Lepisosteus oculatus: one gene and its partners. The protein of the gene in region 3 purifies or fractionates together with the protein of the main gene of each other region. This does not show direct contact. Links are inferred from orthologs where the notes say so. Each region holds a gene or a part of one and is shown on either strand. Other genes may lie near its edges.

What was found.
Region 1: the proteins of ctnnb1 (region 3) and catenin alpha-3 purify together in Homo sapiens (affinity purification with mass spectrometry; 4 studies listed by BioGRID and IntAct, counting the BioPlex papers as one, with this or other methods). This does not show direct contact. The link is inferred for Lepisosteus oculatus from reciprocal best matches to the Homo sapiens genes CTNNB1 and CTNNA3.
Region 2: the proteins of ctnnb1 (region 3) and hdac7a purify together in Homo sapiens (affinity purification with western blotting; 5 studies listed by BioGRID, with this or other methods). This does not show direct contact. The link is inferred for Lepisosteus oculatus from reciprocal best matches to the Homo sapiens genes CTNNB1 and HDAC7.
Region 4: the proteins of ctnnb1 (region 3) and smarca5 purify together in Homo sapiens (affinity purification with mass spectrometry, with the first as the bait; 3 studies listed by BioGRID). This does not show direct contact. The link is inferred for Lepisosteus oculatus from reciprocal best matches to the Homo sapiens genes CTNNB1 and SMARCA5.

Annotation. Positions count from the first base shown.
Region 1 is NC_090699.1:34,545,137-34,552,636, reverse strand, and holds the start of catenin alpha-3, read right to left. Parts: upstream 3,005-7,500; 5' UTR 2,864-3,004; intron 1,638-2,863; 5' UTR 1,633-1,637; coding exon 1,534-1,632; intron 1-1,533. UniProt on the Homo sapiens protein: May be involved in formation of stretch-resistant cell-cell adhesion complexes.
Region 2 is NC_090696.1:16,830,943-16,838,500, reverse strand, and holds the start of hdac7a (histone deacetylase 7), read right to left. Parts: upstream 3,005-7,558; 5' UTR 2,990-3,004; coding exon 2,944-2,989; intron 1-2,943. UniProt on the Homo sapiens protein: Responsible for the deacetylation of lysine residues on the N-terminal part of the core histones (H2A, H2B, H3 and H4).
Region 3 is NC_090705.1:42,390,475-42,398,056, reverse strand, and holds the start of ctnnb1 (catenin beta-1), read right to left. Parts: upstream 3,006-7,582; 5' UTR 2,871-3,005; exon of another isoform or gene 2,768-2,870; intron 1-2,767. UniProt on the Homo sapiens protein: Key downstream component of the canonical Wnt signaling pathway.
Region 4 is NC_090696.1:27,528,829-27,536,707, forward strand, and holds the start of smarca5 (SWI/SNF-related matrix-associated actin-dependent regulator of chromatin subfamily A member 5), read right to left. Parts: upstream 3,005-7,879; 5' UTR 2,728-3,004; coding exon 2,659-2,727; intron 1,230-2,658; coding exon 1,128-1,229; intron 1-1,127. UniProt on the Homo sapiens protein: ATPase that possesses intrinsic ATP-dependent nucleosome-remodeling activity.

The DNA.
Region 1 (7,500 bases), on a different chromosome or scaffold from region 3:
GGGATGGTGACTTGAGTGATCTGGTGCACAGGAGGCATGAAGTAGGCTAACGAGTCCAAGGAAGTCCAGAAGGGAAAATCGGGGCGCGGTCCGTAATCCAAAAGCCGCGTGGTCCAGCCATGACAAAGACCATTAACACAGGAATGGGAACGTTGAACCAGGAACATGGAAGATTAAAATCATAACGAGGCAAAGCGCTCCGAGCCCCAGACTCAGAGGTCAGGACGCCATGGTGAAGCCTATGCCTTTGGGCCACTTCTGTGCCTGATGGTAGGCGGGCTTCTGGGCGTCCGTCTTCCAAAGCTGAGCCCAGAACTACGGAGACGCCAAGCTTAAATAGGGAATCGGGGATAGGAAATAGCTGGGACAAATAAAGCTGGGAACACAACAAAAAATGTAGGAACACCCTCTAGAGGATGGAAGACGACTGTGACAGGTTTGTTCAAATAGGTCTAGTAACATAAAAAATGCCCCAAAGTGAATTTTGGGGGATGCAATAAAACTGAACTGAATAAAAACACAGACACACTAAGACATTATGACATTCAAGATATTTGCTTCCAGGGGTGAGGGATATATATATGTAATATATACTGTATGTAAGTAAAAGAATACATTCTGTTTACTCCGAATTATTATATGGGAATTGCTGATTGTAAACCTCTGATCAAGAGTCATAGCAGGTGTGAAATTAAGAGAACCCTATGACTCTTTCTGCAGAGAAACCCTTCAACAGCTTAGCATTCCACTATGCAAACTCTAAAACTGGCACATGCTGCTTGAAGAGACATATCTTTTCATTCTGCCCAAGACTACATAGGCAGTTCCTCACAACTTGCAATACGACTCCAGGATCAGCTATTGTACTGAGACACTTTTTCTGAAGCATAGGATTGGAGCTGATAGCAACTAACCAGGTAGCATAAAAGTGATTGCATGGATGAGCAGAGCAACAACAAAATAGTTGTGGCTAAATTCAGTCTAAAATCTGCACTTGTCTGGGCTGTATCACTCTGTGCCTGTAACCAAGACTCCTAGTAGCACCTAAGCTGGTCAAGAACAGTGGCTATTAGCTTTTGTAAACTCTCCTTCTAGCTGCTCAATAGCAGATTCTGTGGTTGACTGACCGTCTTCTGAACTGTCATTTTTCATTCAGATAGCCTTGTATCCTCTGAAACCCATATTTATCTAACCAGAACAAAAACCTTCTCATTTTCTGAGTGTCCTGAAAAAACAAGTCCACACATTCACAAGAAAATAGTACACCAGTGTATTATTAAGCTGCTTCCTAAAGATGCCATGCCCATCTTCAGTTTCTCCAATTATAATAATCAACTTCTTATTCATGGAGCAATTTGGTAGAAATAATTGGAGGCTTAAAAATGAATTGGTGGCTTGGTGTTAGATTACTTGTTTAGAAAGCAAGCATTTTGTTAACTGTTAATTTTCCTCTAAGATTAAATTCATTGATCAAAGTCAAAGGTAAACGTTTTTTCCATTGGTATGAATGTCCTTGTTTATTAAACTGAATACCTGTATAATCAGTGGTTCAAGCAACCTTTCCACTGTTATAGTCCTGATCTGAAGATCCTTAGGGTCGATTTTCAGCTGAAGATTTTGTAGCAGTGTCATTTTACCTATTAGAAAAAGAAGCAAAAAACACATAACATTATCCACTGCACAATAATAATTCAGTTTTCAAAAAACTCCCTTTGGTTTATATCAGTTACCTACATCACACAGTACAATTATTGGAGTTCCACATTAATACAGACCTTAAGGAGATATATTACAGATGAATCAATTATTTTACTTGACATCTGAGTCTTCTAAAATAGGTTTTGATAAAACAGTCTAATTACACATATCATATTGGATAAATACGACTGAACATGTATACAGTATGTAGTTTAATAATTAGAATATTAATGGAATACATGGTTACTCTGAGTGATTAAATATGAACAAAGTGAAAAATGTCATCAACTAATCAATAATTTGAAATCTAATTCTCAAAGATAAAGATTCATGTAGCTACTGTAAATGTTTTGAACCATTTATAAACTATTTAGAAACTTTTACCTTAGTATGTGACCCTGACCAAGGTATTCCTAGTAGATTATAAATAGGCTGCAGGCTTCCTTGCATTGCAAAAAATAAACCCAAGCTTTGCGTAGTATTCTATATTTAGCACGCCAACAGTTTCTCATCAAAGTGAAACTTCTATTTGGTTAGTTAAATTAAGAACAAAAATATATTTATAAAAACGTTTACATGTCAGAATACAGAAAAAACTTGCAAAATTATAAACTTTATAAACTGCAAAGTGTCGAAAATAGTTGCACACTGTGTCCAAGCATTCAAATGAGTTATGCACAAAAATAAATTTAAATATACAAATTATGTTATGTCCCTGGAAAACGCATTCTCTATTTAGTGGGGATGACTACAGTGTACAGGAAAACACCTGGTGTCTTTCGTTGTCATTACATAATTAAAACGAGCTGGTGTTTTCCACTTAATTAATTCAACTATTAAATGTATATAAATTACATATTTATAAGGACAAAGCTTAAAAAAGACTAAAACATCTTGCACGGTAAATGTCCGATACCGGTGGTCAACTAAATAAATTCTGTCTTATTAAGGCACGAAGTGTCCGTCATCTGTTTAAATGCACTCGCTACAACCGCACACCCTTTTAAATAATTAATCAAAACAATTGATTCCCTTCCAAGAAAACATTGAAATTAAAATTTAAAGTTTATGATTTAGTAAACTATTCGAAACAGTGACGTTTTAAATGAGATATCAAAAATACGAACAACTAGTGAGAAAGAAATAGCAAAACACGCATTCTTACCTTTCTAAGTCTAAAGCACAGAAAACTGTTTTGCTGACAAGGTTTAGCTGATGTACAATGAACTTTTCCACGCCTGCAGAGCACAAGTTGGAAGCCACAATCCAGTTAAAAGAAATTCAGCTGGTATTGCCCTCCCCCCTCCTCCCTCTGTTCGCTTGCCAGTCATGCGCTCCAATGCCTACTTAAACTGTCAGCCGAGCTACAGTTGGCGCATGATTTCATTGACATCCACTTGCTGCTTCTGAAAATATCCGAATGACAGGAGGGCTTCGGAGAGGTTAACACAGCTAACAAGAAGCAGGCCCCTTCCTCAAAGAGATTCTACTGTACCAGCACCTGGCAGATATACAGTAAATACTGTATACTGTATGTTCTTTGCAGAAAAATTCTAATAATCACCTTTATTTTATATAGTGTCTTTAATTGTACAATACATCCTGTCAAGTTACATGTTCAACTTCTCAAGCCTTCCAAATGGCAAGTTCTACATTTCAGATAAAATCAAAATCCCCATTTATAGTGATATAAAGAACTCTGTAATCCCTTTCAGTCATTTCAGACAGAACGTACATCAGTTACATGCTAATCACTTATACAATTCAATATTGACAGAGGAGAATATAGAAATGTTTAAGTATACTGTACTAACCTTTCCATTTAAGGAATCGATTAACATTTGACCTCTGTATATATGCAACTCTGTATTAGTTATTAATTTTTTTCTATTTTTGTTAATTAACCCAATATTTTTCGATTCAGACTTCAATGAATTTTTTTTTTTATCTATGGATTAAGCAGAAAGAAACTTTTGTACTAATACCAGCAAATATATACTTCTAAGGGGTGGATGTCAGAGTGAATATCGTGTACCAAGATGAATCCCAAAATCCAGAGTATATCACAATGGTTTAGGATACAAGATGGGATATCATCTAGGATCAGTCCATCACAAGAGAACAATTAAGACACACCAGTTTACTTAGCCACCATTTCTTTTGGGAGCTGGGAGGAAACCACAGCACCTGGAATAAATCCACATGAACAAGGGGAGAAATGCAAACTCACACAGAGTCTGAATGCCTGCACCTTAGTCCAGAAATGAATCCAGCAACTATGATCTGTGGAAAAGCAGTGATAGACACTGCACCACAGCTCTGAACCAATGGTGTATTGCAGTACATTGTAATTCCAACAGTGCAACTGTCAAGTTTTCTCACACATCCCCAGATTGAAACCTAGGGCTTTTGCATGAGGCCCTGCATGGTGCCAAGCTAACAGATACTGCCGTTTGTACCTCTGCTGCATTTGGTGTTTCATCCTGTGTCCCATACACACTACAGTGGCTCTCAAACAAGCCTTTTCATTTTAGTACAGTGGGGTGCATGCTTAATCCTTGGTAGGGTAGCTCTTGCAATTTAATTAAGCATACTGTATACAAAGTTTAAAAGCTCACATCTGACTGATTTCAAATACATTTGTCAGGAATTTAAAAATAAAGAGCAGAGCAACAGTGCTATATACCATATATGCTTAACAAAACAATATATTTCAAAGTGGTTTACAGTAAGTGGCCAGTACCCTACTTTCCATGCTGCTTTACACTAATGGGCAATAGTATTTACTCTTTTTTTATTTAAGCTTTTTTTGGTTTTATTGAGGACAGGCCCTTGCTGGATTCTATTCCTGTTGGTTTTCGTTAGTGAGAGATTCATGTGATTATGCAAAAATAAGAGAATGCGAATTATAATATAATGCATAATTTAATTGATTGAGATCTGCATAAATGGTTATAATAAGTCATTTCTGTCCACTTATGTTGGCCACCTGGATTATACTTTTTCTCCAGGTGAGGGTAATGGCAATATAATATTTGCTTATCACTGTATTGTTCTAATTATCTAATTTTCTAGCTTTTACTTTCTCATTCTACTGCAGTACACAGTCATAGATATTTGAGGGTAAAACAAAAGCCAGTAACTATTTACACTCTTTGTTTATTAGTTTGGATTTAAGCATTTGGACACTAAATTCATCGAAAACCAAGCTGACCTCTTTTCACTGGAACACTAAATTAAAGTGAAATAAACAAGTTAAAACCTCATGAAATACCCTAGGCACTGCTTATAATTGCCTTCCTTTTGGGAATAGGATTTTTATGCAAGGAGATGAATTATTGAAGCAAGCATTTGTTATTAACTGAAGAACTCTAAAAGAGAGAATTTCAATTGAGGAATATAACCTATCTGAGAACTGCCAATAAGAATCATATCCATTCTCCACACGAGTGTGGTGCAAAAGAGCTGTAATTTTTGCAAAGACACTATAACACTTCAGAGAAGCTGAATCAAGTTAGGAGCAACATCACAGACATTTCCCAGTAATCCATCCATCCTTTTGCCAACAGATTTATCCAAAACATCTACCAGTGTATCTTTGGACTATGGGACAGACCCAGAACACCTGGAGGAAACAACACAAACACAGGGAGATCAAACAAACTACACACAGATAGCACACCAGGAACTGAAACCAGAGCCCAAACACAGCAAGGCAGCAATGCTAACCACTGTGTCACCATCCAACCCTATTTCAAAAATATTAATATAATATAAAATATTAATATCATACACAGTATAAGCATTTTAAACATTCTATGAATGCTTATGATGCATAAGTTTAGTATCATTAAGATACAATATTGAGAAGCTGCCCACTAGATAAATCTGGAAGGCAGTTAGGCACATATTAAGTTGGAATTGCAAAGTAAAGTTTCATCACTGAGGATGAATGTGAGAAGAGAAAGAAAGATGTAGCCATAGCAATTAAACAAAGTGTAGATCACCAGCAGCCCTATCAGTCTTCAATTCACAAGTGGCACTGAAGCTAAGCAGTAGTAAGCTTGGCCAGTACCTGGATGGGAGACCTCCTGGGGAAAAACTAAGGTTGCTGCTGGAAGGGGTGTTAGTGGCTCCAGCAGGAGGTGCTCACCCTGCGGTCCATGTGGGTCCTAATGCCCCAGTATAGTGACAGGGACACTATACTGTAAACAGGTGCCATCCTTCGGTTGAGACGTAAAACTGAGGTCCTGACTCTCTGTGGTCATTAAAAATTCCAGGGTGTTTCTTGAAAAGAGTCCTGGCCCAAGTTTCCCATTGGCTCTTACCAATCATGGCCTCCTAATAATCCCCATCTCTCCTCCCCACTGATAACTGATGTGTGACGGGCGTTCTGGTGCACTATGGCTACCATTGCATCATCCAGGTGGATGCTGCACATTGGTTGTAAAGCCATTACCTGTAAAGCACTTTGAGTGGATTATAGATCATATTAGATCATATTATAGATCAACAAAATGAATCTGTTTAAAGTCACAGGTATAAGGGGCTTGCTTTTTCATAGAGAATATCAATTCTTCCTCTTCATTTAAATAAGCCATTCTGCAATAACTAGTCTAAATTAGAATAATGGCTAAAAATTAACTTCAAGTTCTTTCGATGTTTCAAAAAGATATTTTGAATTTTTACATACAGTACATTTCATAAAAGATTCCTATAGCAGAAAGGAAGAAAAATTGGGAAAGGTGATTGAGATCCAGACTATACTCTCAAACTAAAGATTAATAAAAATATCTGTATTGTAGCTTTACAAATGATTGTACTATGATTGGTCTACAATGATTGTGTACATACTATACATTTAATTTGTATGTACTGTATTACCATCATAATCTCCAAGGTCCACAAAATTATTCTAATTTAGTAATAGACATGAAACCCCAATATGAAGTCTGTAGAAACAAAACTTCTTAAAATGAAAATTAATTTCCATAGAGATCTATCACAGCTTAACCTTACTTATTAGCCTACACAGAGATGGTGGAGAATCAATTAATGTTTTTGTTTCGTAACATATTCCTTTGCTGTAACATACTAAGTAAACAACAATATTTTCTGCAATTTCACATGTTAATGGGGCTGGCAGTGAAACCAAATTTGTTCTCCATGCTCCAAATTCAACATGCGCTTTAAAGAATGCAACACCCACTTCAGGAATGTGTAAAAATATGCCATCAGTAAAACATTTTTTTCATCCTGTGCTGTTTGATGGTGGGCATCACAGTGCAGCCATGGTTAAGTCAATACTTATTATAAAAACTGAACTGTACATCACAGGTTCTGAAAAGTAGCTGTGAAAAGAAGTAAAAACAATAAGATGTGTATGATTACTTCTTCAATGTGCATGCTGCTCATGTAAGAACTTGCCAGAAGGGAGCCATTTCAGATGCCCTTCTTTTTGTTAACAGTGGTAGGAAGTAATATATATATATATTATCACTCCTTCAATTCATAGAACTTTCTATTTCATTTTATTTTCCAGCAATTTCATTTAAGAAACGTGCAACACTTACCTACTCTGGACATCTTGTGATTCAGCTTTGATTCAGATATGAAACATTTTGTCATGTGTTTTTCATTTACAATACTGCACATACAAAACTTACAAGTTATAGGTTTATTCCATGCTGAAAAAAGAGGAAAGAAAACACAACATTTCGCCCATGGAGCCTTCTTCAGGTGTGAGAAAGACAGGGCAGAGGGCATGCAAAAATTAGCTTGACTTAAATTTAGATAAAATAT
Region 2 (7,558 bases), on a different chromosome or scaffold from region 3:
TTTTTTTATTCGGTTGCCCTGGGGGACAGCTGGTCCTGTTCATTTTGTAATGATCAGTGTTGTGAGGGGGATGCAGTTCGGAAGCGAGTTATCAGTTGAAGACGCAAGTGTCTCCCCTCCACCTCTTTCACTTGAATCGGATTTTCTGCACGCAAGGCTTGAAGTAACCAGTAGAATTAATTTTCTGTGTCGGAGGCAGAGCCCTCTGCTGACTTATTGGTCTACCAGTCCATTGCGCAGCCAGTACAAGCCCATTCATAACATGACAGACTGGGCCACATGTGACAGCTGGTATTACAACTACCAGCAATACTACAAATGACTACTACAAATATTAATACTGAGAAAGAAATAGGGGGTAATAATGCGTGAGGGTTATCTAATATTTGGATTTTTAGCTACCAAGCAGGAACATTTAACTGTCCAAGGTAACCCACTTTCAATGCATTCAGGTAGCCAGCCCAAATCGTAAAGGAACTGGAACAACCTGACTCCGGGTCTGGCACATAGAGAGAGCCCTGCAGCTTCATTCGGTACAAAATGCCCATGTGAGAGAAGGTTCACTGTCCACCCTTAAATAGCACGTTTACAGCGGCATGGGGGACAGGGAGAGCTGACGTGAAAATATGAAGATTCAGATTCCCGTTAATTAATGAAACGGCGCTCAGCGCAGGATGCGGTCAGCCGTTTCAGCAAAGCCTCCCACGCAGGTGTATGCTGGCCCTCGTCTCTCAGAGAGAGGAGGTAGACCCGAAGTCCACGTCAGTCCGCTGCACTGCCTTGGCGTCTGCTTCACGTGTTTTCAACCACGGGAGGGAAACAAAGCTTATGGGAAAGGAAATTCAGACCCGTCTGAAGTGCCGTTTACAGAAAAGCCCGGTAGAAATGCATATTGTATAGTAGGTCATGCTGTGCTACCCACAGGCAGGAAGTAACACTTTTATAATGACTTCTGACATTTGTATTTTATGTTTCTAACTTCAGCAAGTTTATTTGTCATTTATAATAAGACACAAAAATGACCCAGAGGACCTACAGTGAGTGTTTCTGTTCACTGCTTTTCTGATTATGGGTCTGTAAATATCTTGTTTCTCGGGCAGTGTGAGACTTTCTGTTTCCCTTGTGCCACCTGTCTGAAGCGAAGCGAGAACTTTCTCTGGACAGAAGTTTGCCCCATTGCAGAGATGGGATGCAGAAAGGGCCCAGAAACTAAATGGAGAGGGAATGGAAAAGTAGCACTTCAGCAGTAATCAGCCTCCAGCAGATTTTAGTCATGAAACACTGCAAAACACCTAATTTTTTAATCTCACTTTGTCTTTTGCCGTTTTCTTTTTCAACTCGGCCAATTAGGAATTGCCAGTTGCTGAAGCGGTAAGGACTGAGCAGCCCTGACACGTGGATGTTGGGGTCACTAACGTACAGTATAGCCTAGTCAGTTCATGGGGAGTTCCATACACCCACAACTCTCTGTGTAAAGACGTGTCTCCTCCTCTGCATCCTTAATTAATTTCCTTATACAGTAGATTCCAACTCTGACCCACATTTCGCTATTAAGATAGACATACAGTAGCCTGCTCAGCCTACCTTGACGATATTGATTAGTATTTGTCATAGACACTTGTTTTTTAAGTCCTACAATGTCCCCCTAGGGTCCTATTATGGACATGACTGACCAAAAGAAACAGCACAATGACATCGATATGAAAAAGGGGAAAAACTCAGGATCTCCTCTACACTCAGTGACAGACATTCACCCAGAGCCCTGGGGGAAAACAGAGGGGTTTTAGCGAGGGAAAGCAGATGAAGGCACACATTGTTTCACTCAGCCCTTCTCTCGGCTGGGTTTGTAGGGATGGAGCCAGTGAAGTGTACATGTGACTCTCCGGGGCTAAAATACGCGCCTCTTTGCCATCTCCACGTGCTAGCCTGATTGGACGAGCCTGTATCAATGTTCGGCAGCAGAATGCTGCCCCCCCAGGGGAAGGTACAAGAGGACGTGAGATTAAAAAAAGGATTGAGGCTTTGCCGTTTTGATAATGTGCCTTTTTTAAGCCCGTTAGCTGTCCCTACAGGGACACTGCACTAGCGTTGACCATTCAAACCACAGTGAAATCATGGCAGAAGAGAGATCTCACATAATTCAGAATGAATAATTGCAATAACTCTTACCTTCCCTGCCCTTAGGAAGTGGGGCAGAGCTGGAGGTCCTTGCAAACATACAGACTCCACACAAACAGGCACTCCAGCCTGGAATCGAACCCAGGACCCTGGAACTGTGAGGAAGCAAAGCTTTCCACTTTTGCCACTCCAACTTTGCACAAGTGAAGGAACATTGTGCTTTCTGGTAGTCACAAAAAATATCAACTCCAAAATGAGGATTTTCATTCTCACTGTCCCATGAACTGAATAATTTGCCATAAAAGACCCAGGTCCTGTCTGGCCAGCGTGCTTGGCCCTATCCTTTGAGCAGGCAGCATTATCTCGGAAAGCTGAATACACACAATACTATTATTTGGCCTGAATGCAGATAAAAACGAGTTTATGCAGCTGTACTATTCTTGTGCTGCTCAAATTACAAAGTGCACTTGTTAACGGACAAGACTGCATGGGAATGGACGACAACTGCACAGGAAACAAGGCCAAAGAAGTTGGCGTCTCCCAGCATCGCTGCAGCTAAGCAGCACAGCCACATGCAGGAACAGCCCGCTGGTAAATCACTGCCCTCTGCTTCCTTCCCTGGCACACGGGCGCAGAGGGAGCCTGCGACGCCAACACTGGCCAAACCGCCAGGCACACAGCCCAGGGCCGCAACGAGCCAACCGTCAATTTCACCCGGCGTAAGAATACACCGGTTGGAGGCTGCAGCTCGCCCGAGATACACCACCGCGTTTGAAAAACCTGCTAAGATAAGAGAATTCAGGAAAAACAACAAACAATGCTTACATGTTGTCTGAGGCCAGCACAGTCTGTGCCGAGGGAAGGAAAGCATAACATTCGCTTCTTTGGGTACGTGCTAACTATTTTTGCTCAGGTTCCGGTACCTTGAAACTTCCTATTCACTTCTGCGGCTTCCTCTGTGCGTTATTTAGAGCTGAGCGGCGTGTGTGTGACACACAGAGAGCAGGCTCGCGCACCTTCTCCTTGTTGGCCCTGGGCCGGCTGAGCAACTGCCACACGGCACAGCTGTACACATCTGTCTGTCGCCGTGGGCGTGCTGGGCCGGGGGCGGGGGGGGGGCGATCATGTCTGCTCAAACAAACACTGAGGAGGGCAGGAAAAGGGGAAAGGATACGCACTCCACTGGTCAGTCTTCAATCACAAACAGCCAGCGAGCCAGGTGGAAGGTGACTCAACTCAACTGTTGCTTTGTCATTTGCAAACAGTCACAGCAAAAATGAAGAAGATCAAGAGCCTGCTTTGCTCAGGGGTTGTCTTGGATGTTGGGGTGAAAGCCAGATGACTGAACTGGAGAACTGCCTTTTTGACACAGACCATGAGACTCCAAGAGGTCGTACTTTATCAAATCAATAACAGCAAATGCTACTGCTACTATTGTCATTATACCACCCAGAGCAGCATGCCGTATGCATTTCTGCAATTACTTTAAAAACATGAATGTCTGTCTTGTCAGGCATAACTGACATTGTTTGCATTGCTGATATGAAGGTCTAAAAGCGGCACTACAGTGCTAAGTGACTGATCATGAAACTTTCCAGCACCATTCCCACATGTGCTTGAAATGAGTGTGGGTGTCCTGGCCCAATTTCCCACTGGCCTTTACCAGTCATGGCCTCCTAATAATCCCCATTTGTGAACTGGCCTCATCACTCTGCTCTCCTCCCCACTGATCGCTGGTGTGGGGTGAGTGTACTGGAGCACTTTGGCTGCTGTAGCATCATCCAGGTGGGGCTGCACACTGGTGGTGGTGGAGGAGAGTCCCCATTACCTGTAAAGCGCTTTGAGTGGAGTGTCCAGAAAAGCACTAGATAAATGTAAGGAACTACTGTAGTAGTAGTAGTAGTAGTAGTAGTAGTAGTAGTAGTAGTAGTAGTAGTAGTAGTAGTAGTAGTAGTAGTTCTAGTAGTAGTAATGTCACACATCACATGTCAACAAGACAGAACTGGACTGCTCCATCCCAGCAGTGAGGACAAACAACATTGCAGTCAGATTCTCTGCAGTAGCTACAGACCATCTCTTTGCATTACCAATCAGAGGCAGGGTTTCAGGGGCTCAAGCTCATCAAGCTCTGAGGAGGGGTGGCTGAATCTGTGCTGGCAGGTGCCTCAGCTGCCACGGCTGCACAAGATGAAATATTGATACACAAGCTTCACTGTCCAGAATTGCAGAATGCAGCTCATGTACCAATTACAACTACTTTGCCCCAGCATATACTGTATCTCCTGTCCTGTGCAAACTGCATTGGCTCCCCATCAAATTCAACTGAAGAGCTCAGCTCCAGGTTAAGGCCTTTACTGCATGAGTGTAGACCAGCACTTAATTTGACATCTGCTGTCTCAGGTCGAAGACCAGGCTACACACAGTGGACAACAGAGCTTTCTGTCTGCTGTATATATAGAGCCTGAGACACCAGACATCTTTAAAGTTTATTTAAAGACCTACTTTTTAACTATAACCTTTCATGAATAATTCTGCATTAACACTTCAGTTTATATGGTTTATTTTCTGTGTGATTTTTCTTTCTACTTCTGTGTTGTGTGCACATAATATTATTTTACAGTGCTTTGGGGTTTTTTTTTCAGTAGCGGTAACAAAGAAAAGTCCATATTATTACATGCACAACCTTTAGTCAGTAGGAGTCAGGACCATAGCAGAGGAGCACGATCTTGAAAACAATGCAATAACAGTCACACCTTTAGAAGTGCTCTGATAACTGCCACTAAAAACCGTTACAGAAGAGGTGTGGCTGTTATGATGATTTAGTTATTCTGTCTCTTCCCTTAAAAATAATTTCTTTGCTTGGGCTGTAACCTCAGAATGACCTGTGGTGGTGACACAGAAACGAGGCCAACAGAAGAAAGAAAGACAGCTAAATGTGAGGCCGTGATTACGTGCAAGCGCTCTGGAACTGCAGCTGCTCTGCTTGTCCTTGTCGTTTGTGCCCGATCCAAACAATTCGGCCACAACCAGCTCTTGAAAAATCCCACTAGTCACTCAAGCAAATGCAAGTGGCAGCGAGTGAAAACAAGTCAACGCTGGGCGGATTCAGAGCTGGGCACAGCCCTGGTGTCCAACCCAGACACCAGGAGGAGGTCAAGATTCACCGAGCTCCGAGACCCGTGCAATAAGCAAAATAGACTTTGTTTTTAAAAGATGATATTATTTCTCAATTGTTTCCAGTTGTCTGCCTGATTTCTACACCAGGTCCTTCATCAATACCAGTGAGAGCAGTCCGCCCTCCCTTGTCACCCTCCAGGCACCAGTGAATCACCTGTGCTGAGATCAGGCACTGCACCTCTCAGACAGCCACTACTTGTTGAGTTCTGTGGACTATAAAGAGATGCGGCTATCCTTTAGCCACTTAAGACAGGACTTCTCTGCTTCTCCCTGTTCATCTGACCAGATTTAAAGTTGGTTCTTAAGAGTTCTTTGTCCTTGTTTTGCTTAAATTTGGGTCTATCATCTAAACATATTTGAACTTTCTAAATCATTTAACTATATATAGTAACTACCCATTCGTGTACCGACCAACGTGCCTGTGCAGCTATGTATTGAGCTTCCTATCCTCCTATCCTGTGGCAGGTTGGCTGAAATGACGCTGAAGCATTCAAGTGCTGTTCCCCTGTGTTCCAGGCTTGGTTGCTCCATCCTTCCTAAGTGAGCTTCATAACTGTTTTGAGAAGTGATTTTGAGCAACAGTAAGTTACAAATTCAAGCCCAGACGCAGCAAAAAAAACAATTCCGAGGTTAACAGGTGACACGCATAACAGCAGAGGAAATAATATCAAAAGAGGTAGTACAGGAACAAGTAGGTTCACAAACTTCAGATGAATATACAGTATATATAAAACATTAGAACTTATTTGTTGCTCAAACAGGATATGAAGAGAGAAGATGCCCCTGTGATAGCTTTAAATACAAGTTCCTTAATAAATGAAAAAGATATGGCAAATGTTAACAACCTGTTACTTAAGCTACTTAATTTTCTTCTGCAGCGGAAAAAGAGAAGGGAGGACAATGGCAGAAAATCCCAGCAGGCTCAGAGGGATACCATCATGAACGTCTGTTCTGACCACTAAACCACTGACAATGCTTCATGAATACAGGCCGGCTAATTCTTAATCCCCGTCCTCTCAGCTCGCTTTTCTGAAAAAACGGGATTTGACCGGTGTGAAAGTGGGGTTCTGTGACACAGGAAAAGGACTGTGAGGGAAGCAGGGAGTAGAGGCGGGCGGCGAGGTCGAGGGTGAACCAGAGAATGGAGGCAGACAGAGGTAAACCAGCAGGGAGAAAGAGACGGGGATGAATGACCGGGCCGGAGAGAGAGGACAGAGGTCCAGCAGGGACAGCAGGGCGAGACACAGCGGAGGACTAGAAAGCCAGGGAGGTATAGCACTCAGAGGAAGGTGGTGTGAAAGATGGACACCGGCAGCACAGAGAGAAAAATGAAGTGGAAAAGAACAGGAGGAGGGAGGGAGAGACGAAGAGAGGAGGAGGGGGGGGGGAGAATGCAAAAGAGGGAGAAAGGGAGGAAGAGAGTGAGAGGGGAGGGGGAGAAATGGAGTATCCATCTGGCACGGAGAAGCCCGAGTTCCCTGCCAGCCTCCAGGAATTCTCCCAAAGGAAGTGAGCTGGAATGCGGGGAATGCTGGAGCCGTGCCGGGATGGCAGGATGGAGAGCCGAGGGGGAAACAGCAGATGCCTGATGGCTCTGACAGGGTGTGGTGCGGAGCGGAGACCCCAGTAACGCGCGCAGTGCCCCAGCAGCGCTGCACACACTTCCATTCGGTTTCGCCTGCGCTGGGAGATGAGGGATTCTCCCAGTCCTAGAGCTGAAACACACATGTTCTCCCCATTTCTTTTTTTGGGTGAAAGGCAAGTCTGCAGACTTTCCCCAACTCTCTCAATACACACTGTAGTTAAATGTATGAGCTTAGATCTGCGCTTATCTGTGCTAAGCTTCCAGACCTTGGTTTGACCTTTACGGAACTTTATTACACCAAAAATGCAGATCTCTGCTATTTTAATCAGAAAAGTAACGCTCTCCCAGCACAACAGAATTTCCTAGCTGCTGACTGCTCAAAGGGAGCTTTCATCAGTACACTGACTGCAAATCTACAGAGTCTAGCAAAAGGTTTGATTTGAAAACACAGGAAAAGTCAGGACGGCTTCACAGGAGTCAGGATTAAAGATGTACAGTAGCTGAATGCTCAGAGAAAGTTCAAATTTCAGTACCTGTTTCACTTGTAATGACAAAAGCTTGTAACTGGAAATAAACTTCATTTTAAAAAGCCAAGCTCCTTTTTTAGTGGCACTGTGCCAACTCTTAAAAAGTTCAACCTGCTTTTTGATTACCTGCAGAGAGCAGACACTCCTGTGT
Region 3 (7,582 bases):
TACAGCAAAAGGGAAAACTACGTTTTATGTGACTATGTCCAAAAACTTCTAAACTATTCTAATCTGCTTTTATTTTAATCAAATCCAGTTATAAAGATTATAAACAAAGATTTGATTCACTTCTACACACAAGCATATTGAGGATCGGGGTAATAACCCTTAATTCACAAGTCATTCTTGAACCAGGAGGCAGGAAATCTTTATTTACCTACACCACACCTCTTGTACAGACACCCCCACCCCCCACCAATTACCGCTAACAAAAAATAAACAGCCTACAACCAATAACACTTAGTTGCAGTACTCAGGAAGAAGAAACAGTTGATTAGTTCTCTATGAAAATCCTGACTGTTCCCAACTTGATCAACAGTAAAACACCTTTAAAGCGCTGTTGTTCGTAGCTGTAGCATTCCAGGTTGTGGACATGTTTGAGAGATTAGTTTTGCCAAGATTAATCATAAAACAGTCGGGGCAAATCTAGGTTAGTCAACACAGATCTTATTGTGTATAAATGTAAAAAACCTGACTGTGTTGGGGGTGTCTTAAAACATCAAGTCCGATAGGTCTCTGTCTCATTTTGAGCCCTTTAACCTCCACCATGGAGAACATACCATTTCTGGCATTTTCCACCCAGAGCAAATCACCTAACTGATCTCAATCAAGGTTTAGCATAGACCTTTCAGATAACGCAAACAAAGAAACCACCAAGCGCTCACAAGTAAGCGTGCCACAACCCCACCTATGCAGCAGAGTATGTATTATGTAGGGCACACATGACCAAACATCTCACGCCAAGTTTCAGTCCCACAACCCCCTGAGTCTGCCACTGCCTAACCTGAAGCACACCAGTGCCACCAGTCCACTATGAAATCCCACCCCACCCTCCTCCCCACAGGCCAGCGCAACCGCATTTTTTCCACAGGCCGAGAGGAATGCCTGAGCTCTGCTCACTTCGGCACTTCTCCGCGCTGCAGCTGAAAGGGCTCGTGGTGAAGAAATAAAAGATCTGCTGTTGGGCTCTCGGCCCCCAGCTTCCAGACAGCCGCCTGCACCTCCCTCACACATATGGAACTCATTTGGTGCAGAAATCTTCAAAGGAAAGGCAGGCTGCTAGCACACCTCCCCCCAAAACCGCCGAGCAGTGAAACACGACCCCGAAGCCTCCAGCTTCGCCTGCCTCTGCACTGCCTCGCTCCAGCTCCTCGCAAGCCAGCCTGAGCGGCACACAGCCCAGCCCTCCGCGCAACAGAGCCACACAGCCAGGGCTCAGGCTGAACCAGAACCTCGGCTCCACCTGACTGCTCTGGGGCTCGGGGCTGTAAGCGCTCCCCCGAAGTCACCTGTTGATCTGCAGTTCCCCCCTCCAGGACCTTACTCAGAGCCGGGGCAGTTGAACCCCCCCGCAGGACCTTACTCAGAGCCGGGGCAGTTGAACCCCCCGCAGGACCTTACTCAGAGCCGGGGCAGTTGAACCCCCCACAGGACCTTACTCAGAGCCGGGGCAGTTGAACCCCCCGCAGGACCTTACTCAGAGCCGGGGCAGTTGAACCCCCCGCAGGACCTTACTCAGAGCCGGGGCAGTTGAACCCCCCGCAGGACCTTACTCAGAGCCGGGGCAGTTGAACCCCCCGCAGGACCTTACTCAGAGCCGGGGCAGTTGAACCCCCCCGCAGGACCTTACTCAGAGCCGGGGCAGTTGAACCCCCCGCAGGACCTTACTCAGAGCCGGGGCAGTTGAACCCCCCGCAGGACCTTACTCAGAGCCGGGGCAGTTGAACCCCCCGCAGGACCTTACTCAGAGCAGGGGCAGTTGAACCCCCCGCAGGACCTTACTCGCAGCTGGACAAATACAGAGGTGCCCCCAGCCCACTCTCACGGCTAACGAGCAGGAAGCAGCCACGGGAGTCCGGGTCACGACCGCGGCTCTGTGCTCCACACTCACCCACCCGGGGGGGGGGGGGAGGGGTCGACCACCCAACTTCCCTTCCCGTTCAAACAAAACGCCACCCCAAAGTTAAAGCGCTGGGCATTTCCCGGAGCGCGGCTACAGTCTTCGTGCGTGGGGAGGGGGGGGCTCCCCACCCCCACGGGCCCCACGGCCCCGCAGCCCGGCGCGCAGTGCGGGCTCTCGGGTTTCACTCAGGCTCCTCCCCGCCTTCCGCTCCGGCCTCTGTCCGGCCGGCGGGGCGAGGGGACCGGCAGGCCAGCAGCCCCCCGGGGGCGGGGGGGTCATTCAGCCTCTCAGCGCCCCACTCCCACCAGCAACAACAACACGGCGCACGAAGTTCAGGCGCCACCACGCCCGCAGCTTCACGCCCTCCTGCCTGCCCGCCTCCCCCCCCATCAAGCAAAAACAACAACTCGCTACCGAGCCACGCAAACCGGGGGGGGTGGAGGAGGAAAGAAAAAAAAAACACGATGAACCGCACGCGAGCGCAACCCCACCACCACCCCACGCGAGCTCGAGCAGTTCCTCGAGGGTGGGATAAACTCGAGATTTCCAAGCCCCACGCACCCCCCCACTCCTCCTCCCCGTCCACATGCACACACACACACGGGACCCACGATCACCACACCTCACGGCCCGTCCGGACTCCAACTCTCCCGGCGGTGGCACCGGGAGAGAGCAGCCCGACAGCCCCGGACCCCCGACACGCACACGCAGCCCACTGCAGGTCCCGAGTGGGGAGAGACAGCCCGAGAGAGAGAGCCGGGCCACCCCGCCGGGCGCCCAGCCTGCCTGCCTGCCGGCCGGCCCGGGGCTCACCTACCGCGGCACACCGCCTCTCTCCGTCCCCGGCGCGGACCGGCCCGGCTCGGCTCGTCGTGCGAGGCGCTGGAAAGGGCGAGGAGAAGCAGCAATAAACCACCTTCGGCGAGGACGGAGGGGTAGGGAAAGCGAAGAAATCGAAGCCGAAAAGGCGCTCGTCCACCGCCGCAGCCCAACAGCAGCTCCGCCACAGGAAGCGGACAGAGAGACTCAAAATGGCGGCCGGCGGAGACGGGCTCTTATAACGCCTCCCGGGGCCGCTGTATCCTGCCGCGGAAAGTAGAGCCCTCCATCCGCGCTCCGCCTCCCGGCCCCCCCCCTTGGAAAAAAAAAAAGAGCAACGCCAACCACAACAACACAAGCCGAACAACACAAAACGGGCCCGACCCGCTGTCCTGTCGCGGCTTTAACGTCTGCGCGCTTCGGGTCGTTCGTGTTGTGTTGGGTTTCGCCGTTGTTGTTTTTTGTTCTGTTTCACTGTGCCCTCGCGGCGGGAGGAGGGGGGTGAGGGGTTAGAGAGTGCGCAGGGATACGGGAGGTGCGGTGGCGGCGAGGTACCTATTCATGAGGCTGGAATGCGAGTGGGTGTGGGAGTGGGTGAGGGTGAGTGAGGTGTGGGTCACGGAGGGTTCCCAGCCGAACCGCAGGGCGAGGGGAGACCCGCCTCGGTGTGCACTCCGGGGACCTTTGTCCTCCAGTGACCGAGCAGACCCGACCCACGGGTGCACCCGTGGAAAACAAGAGAACACTTCAGATCTCATTTTGTTTCCAGTTTTTTTTTTTAAATAAATAAAGCATGGGGGGGTCACGGCGATGCGCTGGTAGGGGGTTGTGTTTTTTTACGGGGTGTCCTTGCCGGCCCCCGGTCCGACCCCCAGCGTGCGTGTCGTGGTCGACAGGAAACCATCGGACGGCACAGGCGCCCCAGGAACAGGGCAGCGGATCGCCAACTACAGCAACAACAAAAAACACCCCAGCTAGCGCAACTTAAAGCCCTTTCATTCGTTTTACGAGACGTAGCAGTGGAAATCCGTGGTTTCATTTATGCGGCTTTCCGTTTGAAGAGCACTGTTTTTAAAAAAACAAGTCAGCTGTGTCACAATGTCACCTCGCACCGAGGTGGAAAGTGTGAAAGCAGCCGAGAGCGACCCGATCAGAGCTGTTTCTTCAGTGTTGCCCGGCAGGACGGGCGATGAGATACAGTCACTGAACCCGCCAGCCCCGACGGTCCTCTAACACAATCGCATGCAGGATACAGTTTTAAAACACAGTGTAACATCATGAGGCGATACAGTGCGCCAGTCAGCTGTGTTGGGGATGGGGAATCACGGCCGCGTCTCGCCGGGGGGACGCGCGACACCCGGTCGCCCGTGGGGCAGGGCTGACGTCACTCTTCTCTTGGTTTCGAACCCGCACACGCTGGTGACGCGTCGGTGACGCAATGGTCTCACAGCGGAATCGATGCCATTCTCGGCGGAAGGGGCACCCACACCGAACGCGAGCGAAGTCTGGAGCCCTGCGGTGGTCTGGAGTCTTATTGGGGGTGTAGTGTCCCCCTGTCCACTCCTCACACCCTGTTCTTATAAGACAGTCTATAGGCTGCTGCCACCTCACCGAATACGCGACTCTCTCATTATTGTGGGTGCGTGTGGTATAACAGGCATCTTCACACCGGCGGCGAGTGACGTCGCTTTGCACAACATACAACCTGTTTTCACCTTTTTCTTTTTTCCCTCCGTCGGCTCCCACACTCACACTGTGGTGCATCGTCATTTTTTTCCGGTAAAGCATTACAAGGTGTTCCTAGAACCCAGGCAGGTGCGAGTCTTGTGAAAACACGCCTTTTTGTTTTGTTTTGTTTTGTTTTGTTGGGGACGGCCCGTGTCTTCGGCTGTGCCGAGTGGGAGCGCAGTCCCTCGCACGGCTGCTGAGAGGAGCGCCTTGGATTGTGTCCGAGTTGCCTCCGGTGTGGGTTGACACTGGGAGACGTCGCTCTGTCCGCCGTGAAGATATGTGTATGACCACGTAGATTGGTTAAATTAATGGAATCATAAATGTTGTTTAAAAAAACGAACAAGCTCACAGTCAACACAAACTGTTAGGGATTCGTAAAAAAATAATTATTTTTTACTAAATTTACTCAATAAATATATAGCATTAGTCTGATGTACATAAATTGTACTTATCTTCAGTTGGCAGTGAATTACTGCTTTATATTTTGTTATCCAGTGGTTTTACGATTCCGAGTTTGAAGAAGTAAATTTCTTCATGAGTAAAAAAAATACAGTAGCTTTTGTTATTTTCATAACTGTTTTTACTACTCTCCCTTATTTCTGCGATTTAAGCACAGAAGTAAAGCTCTTCGCACAGTCTGCTTGGGGAAGATGTTCAGTTCTTCAGCATGACAGTGGTGACTTGCACAAATCGCTTTGTAATAACAAGAAATGGTGATTATTTTGTCATAATATTTTTCTACCGCTTGTCCTCTGAGGACTGTAGTTATCGTCTTGTGGTGCTGATGTATAAGTTACAACTGTCATTTCTTAAACCTGCATTCTGGTTACATTAATATACAATGGTCTGCATTGCTTCTGAATATATATTTATAGCCCAGTACACAGGTTTAAAATACAGTCTCTCTCTGTGCACGTAATCAGAAATGATTATGGTAAGTGGTCTTTTGTTTTCTGCACACAAGAATGTAATCATTTGCTGTCCATGAGCTGCATTTGGAGCATGCACATCGTGTTTGAGCATGCTTGCACAAACAATATTCATAACAAAAAGGTATACGGTTATTGTTAATTATAATTCCTGGTATTCATATAGCCCCTTTAATCCCCAAATGAAAAGATATGGGAGTGGACCCACCACGCAGAGCCCAGCTAATAACGGGCAGCAGGCCCACTCACTACACGGCAGGCTGCGTGCCGCGGTGAGACAGAGCTTCACCAGGTGAAATTAAGAAGGAGCGCCGGGTAGGCCAGATTGGGGAGGCGTGGAGCAGGAGTGTGCAGGGACATGGAGGTCAGCATCCCACCTCTCACGGGCTGTGATGGGATCAGGTAACTGGGACCCCCCCTTCAACGTTTCAGCCATTTTAACTATACTGCGATTAGATAGGAAGACACCAAAACACGGGACCTAGGATTCCAGCCGAGCGACGCACTTTGAAGCTTTGCGGGTCCGGCGAGACTCGTGGGATGGCGGAGGTTTCTGGAAACGACAGGGCGTCCCATAAACATGCGCTCCTCCGTGGATGGCACGTCATGAGGCGAGCAGTGGGTCCTCGGCGCTATGCACGCCCCGGATGAGCCCAGGGAGGCAGTGGGTGTCTCCAGAAGAGCAGAATACACAGGAACCACGAGTTCCGAAATCTGTTTTTATTGACAAATTTAAAGCGCAATGTTACAACACGATTTAATGAGCAGAACACCTGGAAGTGTCTGGGTAAGCCTCCAGATATCCACTGCCGTATCTCTCATGGCTAACATTTGTCCTACTTATGTAGTTTCAGAGGGCTTTTTCTAGCGCTTCCAAATCCAGTGTGTTACATGCGGTCATAATTGATTGTTAATTGGAACTTTTTCTTTTATCGTGTTGTTATGGAACTGAAAACAGGACGCACGTGTTGGGTGAAATATCATCTGAAGTGAAGCAATCAGTAGAAACACGTGGACCACACGACACAGGTGACTTGTTGTTTTAAATGTTCTGTGATTTTTCTGTATTCACGTGGACACTTCCCACGTAAACGCATAAACATGTTATTCATCCAACACTTTGTTTATCTGACAAAACAACACTTTGGCGTCTGTAGAGCAAGGGACTCAATTCAGTCCTTTTCCCACCATGTCTGGTGTCTGGTCCACCTGAGCTCTCAGTAACCTACCTGACAATTATTTAACATCTGTGTAACTGGAAAACCTAAGATGTTCTACAGGTAATTGAACCTGTAATGACTTAAGTAATGAACCGTGAAAAAGGTTAAGAAACAGCCTGTTTCTGTCAAACTAAGAAAATAATTAGGTTAATTGTTTAATTGACTCCTTGGATTGGAATATAGAGTTCCTTCAGGGATGGAGTTTGACACCCCTGATCTGCACTTAGGTTACCAGAGTGCTTTAGGCCTTCAAACGTTAACGACTGGTGGAATTGTTTAAACCTTAAAGCTAAACACTGAACGGAATAGATGATTCAGATCTCAAGTCTGAAATGTCACGTGTATATTATAGTTTAATGTCTTCTCAATTTTTCCTTGAAAGTCCCATTGATAAGAAACTTTACTGTGTGGCAGCACAGAAGCAAACCCCTACAGTAGCTTGCCCTCTGCTCCTATTGGCTATCAGCAGAAGCCTTTAAAGATTTTGAAAAATGACTCTGTTGTATAGGTTTGTGTTTGTGTCTTATACATTCCAGTGAAAAGCCGAAGAATATGAAAAGGGAATCTTTTTTTTTTTAGTGGTGAAACTACCAAGAGCAGATGTAAAATTGTACAATTATTATTATATGTGGAATATTTCCACAACAAGAACGAGCAGCACTCTCTTTGTTCCAGGCTGAAGATCCGCTCTTCCTTGCGTGATGTGGTGCTGCATCGTGCTGCAGTCTGCAGGGGTTGGGAAACTGCAGCTTGACTGTGTGTGTTGCTCCCATCGCATGTGTTCAGGGTGGGTATCTGTAAGGAAGGCAGGTAAATCCATCTGATCAGTGTGTTATCTGAGAGGGTCAGCTGTGACACAGTGCACAGGAATAAAACCTGTATACTGTGAAAGAAGTTCACTGGGCAGAGCTGATCTGAGAGTCAGAGAG
Region 4 (7,879 bases), on a different chromosome or scaffold from region 3:
ATAATTAACAAACACTGATTTTTTTTAAATGAAAGGAATGCTATTCTTTATGCTTTTAACTGTGAATTAAACCCAATTTTTTTTAAACTTAAGTCTTTTGATGGATGTCTTAAAACACTTAACAGAATATTGCAGTGACTTTAATAGAAAAAAGGCTTTTACTGATCATGTTGTTACAGCTCTGTTAATATTTACACACTGTCTCTGTGCAGCAAGTATAAAATCTCCCTCAGAAGCTTTAGTATTCAGTAAAATGTGCAAAAACGATGCATCCAGCCTGATAGCTCTGCTTCACCAGAAAACAAGTTCCCCTGATGCTTCGTAAAGTTACACAGGTGTTTATTAAAATACCCTTCTGCAATGAACATAAACATGAAAGCAAAGTTGATTATGTAAGCAAAGAAATTATGCCTACCCCGCTGCTTTTCAACCAGTTCTGTAAACCCAGCCACTTAACATGGCTGGCTCTTAACTGCAATCTGCACCTTTCTTTAGAGCACACCCAGTAGGTAGACTTGATACAGACATTGGTCACTCCTAACCTACCAGGATAGTTAAAAACCACCGCCTTTTCCGAAAGAGGCATTAAATGAAGGGAATAAAACACCAGCATGTGTCAGTATTTATAAACCACAACCTTAACAACAATAAATCCAGCATACACTTATTTTCATTGTTTAGCTGCTGTTAACTCTGCAAACACAAAAAGAAGAAAAGAGTTTTCCTCTTTAGCACCGCTTGCCTGTTGCCATATCAGAACACTGCCACAGTAGCATCTTTTATACTACTATCTAAAAATACTGTACTTTCATCACTGGAATTATGAAAAATTTAAACTTGTCATTCACATGGCCAGGATATACCCAAGTGCCCTCCACTTGACAAAATGTCTAAACGTGCCAGGTATGCACCATCTAAATATCACCTAAAACATTTATATAATGGACTGCATCCAAAAATAACTATTTGACTGGTTAAGTCAGAGGAGCTGGCTAAGACATTACTCTCACAGATCAAACTAAAAAAAATGGCTTTTCAAGTATAAAATCTTGAAAAGATATTCTTGAAGGCAAGACTATGTGGTGTGACAGTGCTAACTAAAAATAAAGGTTGTGGCAAGACATTACCATTTTCTTTTCATAGTCGGGAAACATTTCCTGTTCTTCCTTTGGTTTTAGGATGGGGGTCTCCACTTGACTGCCATCCTCATGATCAGATGCTTCTTCCTCCTTCGGGACAGGCAGATCGAAATACAATGTTAAAAACTTTAAAATGGAGAGCTGACCTGGTACACGGCTACAGAAACTTTACTTCTAGGCTGAAACACATTTACCAATCCTTGTTATTGTAGCTGAAGTGCAACAGCTGAAAATGTGCCTAGATCTGTAACCCGTGCAATACGTCTGCCAGATGTACAAAGCCCTATTCGTGATTATTCCAGAATGTATTAATAATGCCAGTTAACGAATGAGAGCTAAGTTACTGAACAAAAGCGAACTCTCACATTTTACGTTTGGACACTAGGTGTCTAAAACACGGTCAGAGTGGGAACCTGCGTCAGCAGGCGGACAAGAGGTTAAATCCACGCTGAAAAGTGAAAGAGGAAAACTTCAGGCTGACGCCGATTTCTTGACTAGCTTTCAACCCGGTTACCCGCGGCTCTCTCGGCCGCGGAAGAGCACAGACACACAGGAGTGGGCGGTTTGTATTGATGGTGACGTCATGGTTTCGCAGCCCTGAGAGGGAAAAACGGGAAGCTTCAGACCCCCCCAAAAAATGTTTCAGAAGTTGGTCGAAAATACTGAGGTGCTCGTCTCGAACCTTTATTCGCCTGGTATCAAGAAGCAGGGGTGAAAGACCGACTCGGACGGACACAAAACAAGCAGGGGTCCTCGACGCCTTCGTCCGCTCCGCTGCTCATTCATTCCGCGGATTCCCTCCCCGCGATGCCGCTGTGGTGTCGGCGAAGCGGCTGACTGGAACCAACCAGCCTGAGCAGCAACTAGGCCAAAAACTGACGGGCTGGGGAGCTGAAGTCCCCTCACACGCACATCACCGGTCCCTCCGCTCACAAAACATCACACAGGCGCTCCTTTCGGGAGCCACGTAAAGTTGCCGCACGCCTCGTTTTAGGACTTCGTTTCACGACAGAAGAGTCGAGAATCAAAAATAAAAACACACATCAACGCGGACGGGGTTCCTCGAAACTCCCGATTTCCAGGCTCACTCGATATCCGGAAAACTGTTTAGTGCTCAAGTACATCCCCAAGGCAGGCCGAGTACCGAAGCACCTCACAATAATCACAATTGGGTTTTTTTCTACTTCAAACAGGACACCATCACGACCACGCACAGCTGAAGCGTCCCTTTATTTCCTATCAACGCCGGTTTACTAAAAAAGTAAAAAAAAAACACCCAGTTTTTTCAACCGAAACATCAACGAGGTTGAAAATCCAGAAAAGAAACAAGAAAAAGAATGGAACCCACTACCAACCCACAACACAAACAAAAAAAAAACAAAACCAGAAACAAATCGAAAAGTAAAATCAGTCAAAAGTTCTGCATTCGCTATAAAGACGTCAGGCACTTCGGACCTGGCCATGTCAAGATGCTGGCCAGCCCAGTGGCCCCTCTCCGTGCTGCTATTGTTCCGCTCACCTCCTCTCCCTCCGGCTCAGCCTCCATCCGCGGCTCCTGCTCCACGTTGTTGTTCTCCGTCTCGGACATGCTTTGTCTCTCCTTCCGGATCCTCCACTCTTCTCTCTCGAAAGCGCCCAGCCGCGGGAGTCCTCAACTGCCTCGTACTCGGTAATCCGAAGAAGGGGCTCCTGAAACCGATTATGCGTAGAAAAAGATTTCCCTGACGGCAGCTCTTTTCTTTTCTGTCTCCCCAACACACGCACACACACTCCACAGGACAGATGAGCACCACCACGACGCCGCGGATCAGAAACCTTGCCCGGCTTTTCGGAACTGTCCCACCAACCGGGCTGAACTGCTAAGCATCGCGAGATGTCACTGCGGCCGTTCCTCTACGGAGGAAGAAGAAGAGTCTCGCGAGACCTTAAAACAGCCATAAGGGCAAGATTCGAGTACAGAGACAAGAGGCGTTGTATGTCAGTCGCTCATTCATTGTTGTGCTGTATCAATGATTTAATATTTAGTTACTAAAAGGTTTATAACATTCTCAAAGTCCTGCCTTTTTAGGGAATTTTTTTCTATCTGTCTGTTATTATTGTATGTATGTGTTAGACAATGTCTAAAGATGGTTTGCCGTGAAAGGCACCTTGTAAACGAGAAGTTTGGTGTTGAAACAAAACAAAACTTGTTCTGTATCTCTGAGAGTCTTACAATTTCTAAAATCCCGATTTTCACTTAGCTGTAGATTTCTTAACTACTGCTTGCTATAACAAAATAGTTCCAAATGGCTTGTACCCATTTGTATTTCTTGTGTTTTCATTTTCAAGAACGCTACAAGAAATCTAATGCTGGACTGTTTCTGAGAGACCCATTTTAAATCAGTTGCTCTAGCTTCGTTGTGTTGATCATTCAAAAATTTGGACAGAATAACAAAAAACAAGGAATAAATTAAGAATTAGATTGCCCTATTGTAAACTTTTGTGAGGGAAAAATATTATCGGTCAATCTAAATTTGTTATTTAAAGATAAAAAACACTTGTTCAAGCACCTGATCAATTAAGCAACTGATACAAAGAAGGGAACAATAGTTCTTGAGGGCTGAAGGATATTTGACATTTTTTTTTAAATAATCTGTGAACTGTGGGTAACAGTAGCACAGTGGTGCAGGGGTTTACTTTGTAGTGCTGGGGCCCAGAGTTCAATTCCTGGGGTGTTGTGTGGTTTCCTCCCACAGCCCAAAAGCATACTGGAAAGTTAATTGGCTTCTTTGAGATTACCCCTTTTGTGAGTGTGTGCTTCCTGGGTTAGGATCTGACTCCTCCACAAATTAGATATGAGGTTGTTGAAAGTTAACTGTTGACGTGATGTGAAATTGGTGATATAATGGTTGCCTGTAACACCCAGACAGGCAACCATTAGGCAACCAATAGGATTCCTATTGACGTTCATAGGTATATTACTATAGTTTTAAGAACCATAACCCAACAGATTTTCTAAATCTCTTCAAATCATCAACAGCTAAAGACCTAGGTAATATGCTAAATTAATTAAATTAGGATAATATGTAGCTTGATCGTGGAAATAAATCTGAGGTAGATCAAAATCCCACAAGCAATGTGCCCCCCCAAGAGGAAAGTTTTGCCCTACTGATATAAGCAGAGATGTGCCACACTGATTCCAAAAACTTGCACTGAGGTTATCAATCTGCCATCATACAGCACACCCCTAATCATTTCTTCACTTCAGGAGGTGGTGTAAAAAATGTGTCATGGAATAAAAAATCAGAGCTAACCTGATTAAGACATTGTTGTGCAACAGCAGTGAGGCCTGGATGTGATTTTATTTGTAAAAATGAAATTGAAAACACTGGTACTTAGCTAAATAACAAAGCTATTTTAATATTTTGTGGTTAGAATCAGCATTGATGAGTGCATTTCAAACCATAATAAAAGTCAAATGTACACTGTAACCTGTAAAATTTCATATTTACATCACAAAATAGATTAAAGTTCCAGGTATGCGCAGCGTGATCTGTATGCAGTACATGATTTACATTAGTCATTACATCGACTAGCGAGCAGAAAGGGCCGCATCACATCACAACCCGTGGAAACTTGATTGCGAGTTTGCAACAACATGGTGATTTAGTGCTTTCACAAAGTTCACAATTTTGGGCTTAATTCGAAATTTATAAAAATGTTTTTTACAACATCAATTAATTTATTTTGTTACTGAGATTTAATAACTGGTCCAAAAAATCAGGATTGCAGTTTGCCTTTAACATGTGGTATATATCTGCAACCCCCTGGCGTTGGACTGTCCCCAAGACCCCTTTCACTCCAGGTTCACACTTTCCCACCATTTCCCCCTGTAAAACCAGGAAGCAATTCGATCTTTTTCTCTTTCCCACCTCTGCGTCCAGAGTATGTCTCTCTTTCTGCCTTCTAGCCTGACCTGCTCCGTGAGTGGCATGCCTCGCTGTGATGAAAAGGGCAATAAAACTGTCAGTGAGTCTGACAGTCATCTCCAGCCTGCGTAATGCCGCTGCTGAAACGAGAGCTTGTGTTGCATTGGTGTAAAGAGTGGGATGCCCTGTCTTGGGTTGTAGGCGAAACCTGGAACACAGCAGAACAACTGCTGCTCAGACAGAGCCAAAGCAAAGCAGCTGGGGGGAGCAATGGACTGGCACAGATAAGGCATTTACAAGATTGCTCCCTTGTGCCTAGTGCAACAGAGGGTGACATCCAGCCCTGCTCCCATTTGCCACAGGGCCCTGCTGCCAGAGCTCCACAGAAGACGATGTCCAGCAGCACCCCAGCACGTCACTGGGACGAGGCCCTCATGCGATCACTGGCTGTGGGACCCTGCTCCCAGAGCACCATAGAGATTATCGCCCAGCAGAACTGTGAATGCTCCCCACCTCACATGAGCTGTGGACCCTGCTGCCAGAGCATGTGCCCTCTACAGAGGACAGCAGGGGTGCCGAAGCCACACTCCAAATGGTCAAAGAGTGGGTGCAGACCCACGAGTGGGCCACATAGGAAGAGACAACTGGTGGCCTCCCCATGGACAGTGAGCCGCTAGGTCCTGCTGTCAAGCCTGCATTTTCTAGAAAGGACAGGAAGGGAACCGAAACCAGGCTCCAAACAGTCCAAGAGAGGGTGTAGGCTACCCTGTGTCCTGCTAAACAAGACGACCAGATGTTTTCTCCATCCCTCTGACACCATGGGGAGACAGTCCGTGACGTCTTCCTCGGGCAGGCGAAGGCTGCGGGACAGTGGATCTGAGGACACTGCCTGGGCGGGGCAACAGGTGGGTGGGCCCATGAAAGGTCTTTGAGCAGGGAAAGAGGAGACCGCGCCCCTGTGTCCACACACGCATTGACTGAGTTCCCTCTGTGAAAGAAGACACCTCCAGAGATTGATCGTCCCAGCCCCATCTGATGAAGGGCAAGACCTCCCTGGTCACTGCACTCCAGTAGCCACTGGTGCTCCGGTCGGCCCCAGACCAGATCCCTGTTGCTCCTGCTGCCCAAAAGACAGTCCAATTCCAGGATTTCAAAGTCTGTCTTGGGGAAAGGGACTTGGGGGGCTGCTGTGTCATGGTCGACACTCCCCGGCGCTGCGCTGACTGTGCCCACACCCCCTCCCCTTTTACCCCTGGTCCACCCTTTCCTGCCGTTTTCTTCTAGAAAAACATGGAGCAATCCCTGCTCTCCCCTTTTCACCTCTGTGTCCAGAGGATGTCTGCTCTTCCTCTGCCTTCCCAGCTTTACCTGCTCCGTGACCCGCCGCAATGAAAAGGACAATAACACTGTCAGTGAGGCTGCAAGTTGTCTCCAGCCGAAACTGCCGAAATGGGAGCGTCTGTTGCAATAGGCGAGAGGAAACAACTCTTTTAGCCTGTAATTAACAGTTTGCCAGTCAGAAATGATTAACTTGCTGTGTTAGAAGGCTACAGTTCATGCACAGTAAAAGATTTGTGAGGGAAAGAAGTGAGGGAAACAATGTGTATCTAAATCCCACGAGGAGCCGCTTAGTACTATTCACAAAATCTGAAAACGCTGAACTTGGGTTTGGAGTGGAAATGAAATGGTACTTGAAAACTTGGATTTATATAGCACTGCAACAGCATCTGCTGAAGAGGAGGCAGCTGCCAATCATTCCACTCCCAGATAATTGACTGTTGATCTTCTCTCTATCTAAGTGTCTGCCGTCTCTGTAGCAGGGTGTGAGGTACCCAGTGAGCAGGCAAGCACTGCACACCTGGGAGCTCTGGTGAAAGGCTTCAGAGAGCACAGGACTTTCCGAACAGGCCGGAGAACAAACCTGCGGTCCGAGAGCTGCAAGCACCACCAGATCAGGGGCTGTAATATTGAGAAGACCACGAGCCTGGAAGACCACTTAGAAAACCACTGGTGACATATCTTAGTGGCTGAAGATACTTTGATTGACACTGCGAACTGTGCCTCAGAACCTCCAAAGTGTTTCCAGCTTACAGAATGAAGGGCACAACGACATTTAAATTTCAAACCCTGTCGGCTCCAGACCTCTGCTGTGCTCAGGCTGCAACAAGCAGCTCTCATCCTAAAGGATCCCACAGCACACTGCATGAAGGAGGGGACCCACTTCGCCCACCACCACTCAGGAACAGAGCCCTGGTAGCCTCTGTGGGCCAGAAGCACCACTACACAGCACATCAGTCAGAACTGTGCAATTCATTTACCATTTGAGCTGAGGGGATTCTGCAGGAAAGCCAGATTGTATAAGACAGTGGAAATTTTAGCCAGGACCCCAGAGTTAAAATCCCTTCTCTTTAAAACAGTTTAAAATTACATCAGAAGATCCAGTGCCACTTTCTACAACCCGGTGTCCCTGGTCATCACATTGAATCACTAATTACAAATTGCCCAGAGGGAAGAGTGCCACCTACTGACCATCTGCTAAACGGACCAGGCCCAGCCCTGCTGGTTTTGATCAGGTTACAGGGTGCTACTGTATCTCAGCCGCACGTCTGAACAGAGAAACCAAGCAGGACCAAAATTTCATTTCAGCAATTTCTGGGTGCAGATAATGTAAAGGGTTTGTGGAAAAACTTTGTGAAAATCTATAGACTTTTTATGGGACTTAAAGGAGTTGCTCGTGAATACTGCTAGGCAAAAGCTGTATAATTATGAAAACGTGACACTGTCACTTTGGGTGACTAATGAACAGTTATTAGACTGTGTGTGATCCTCAGT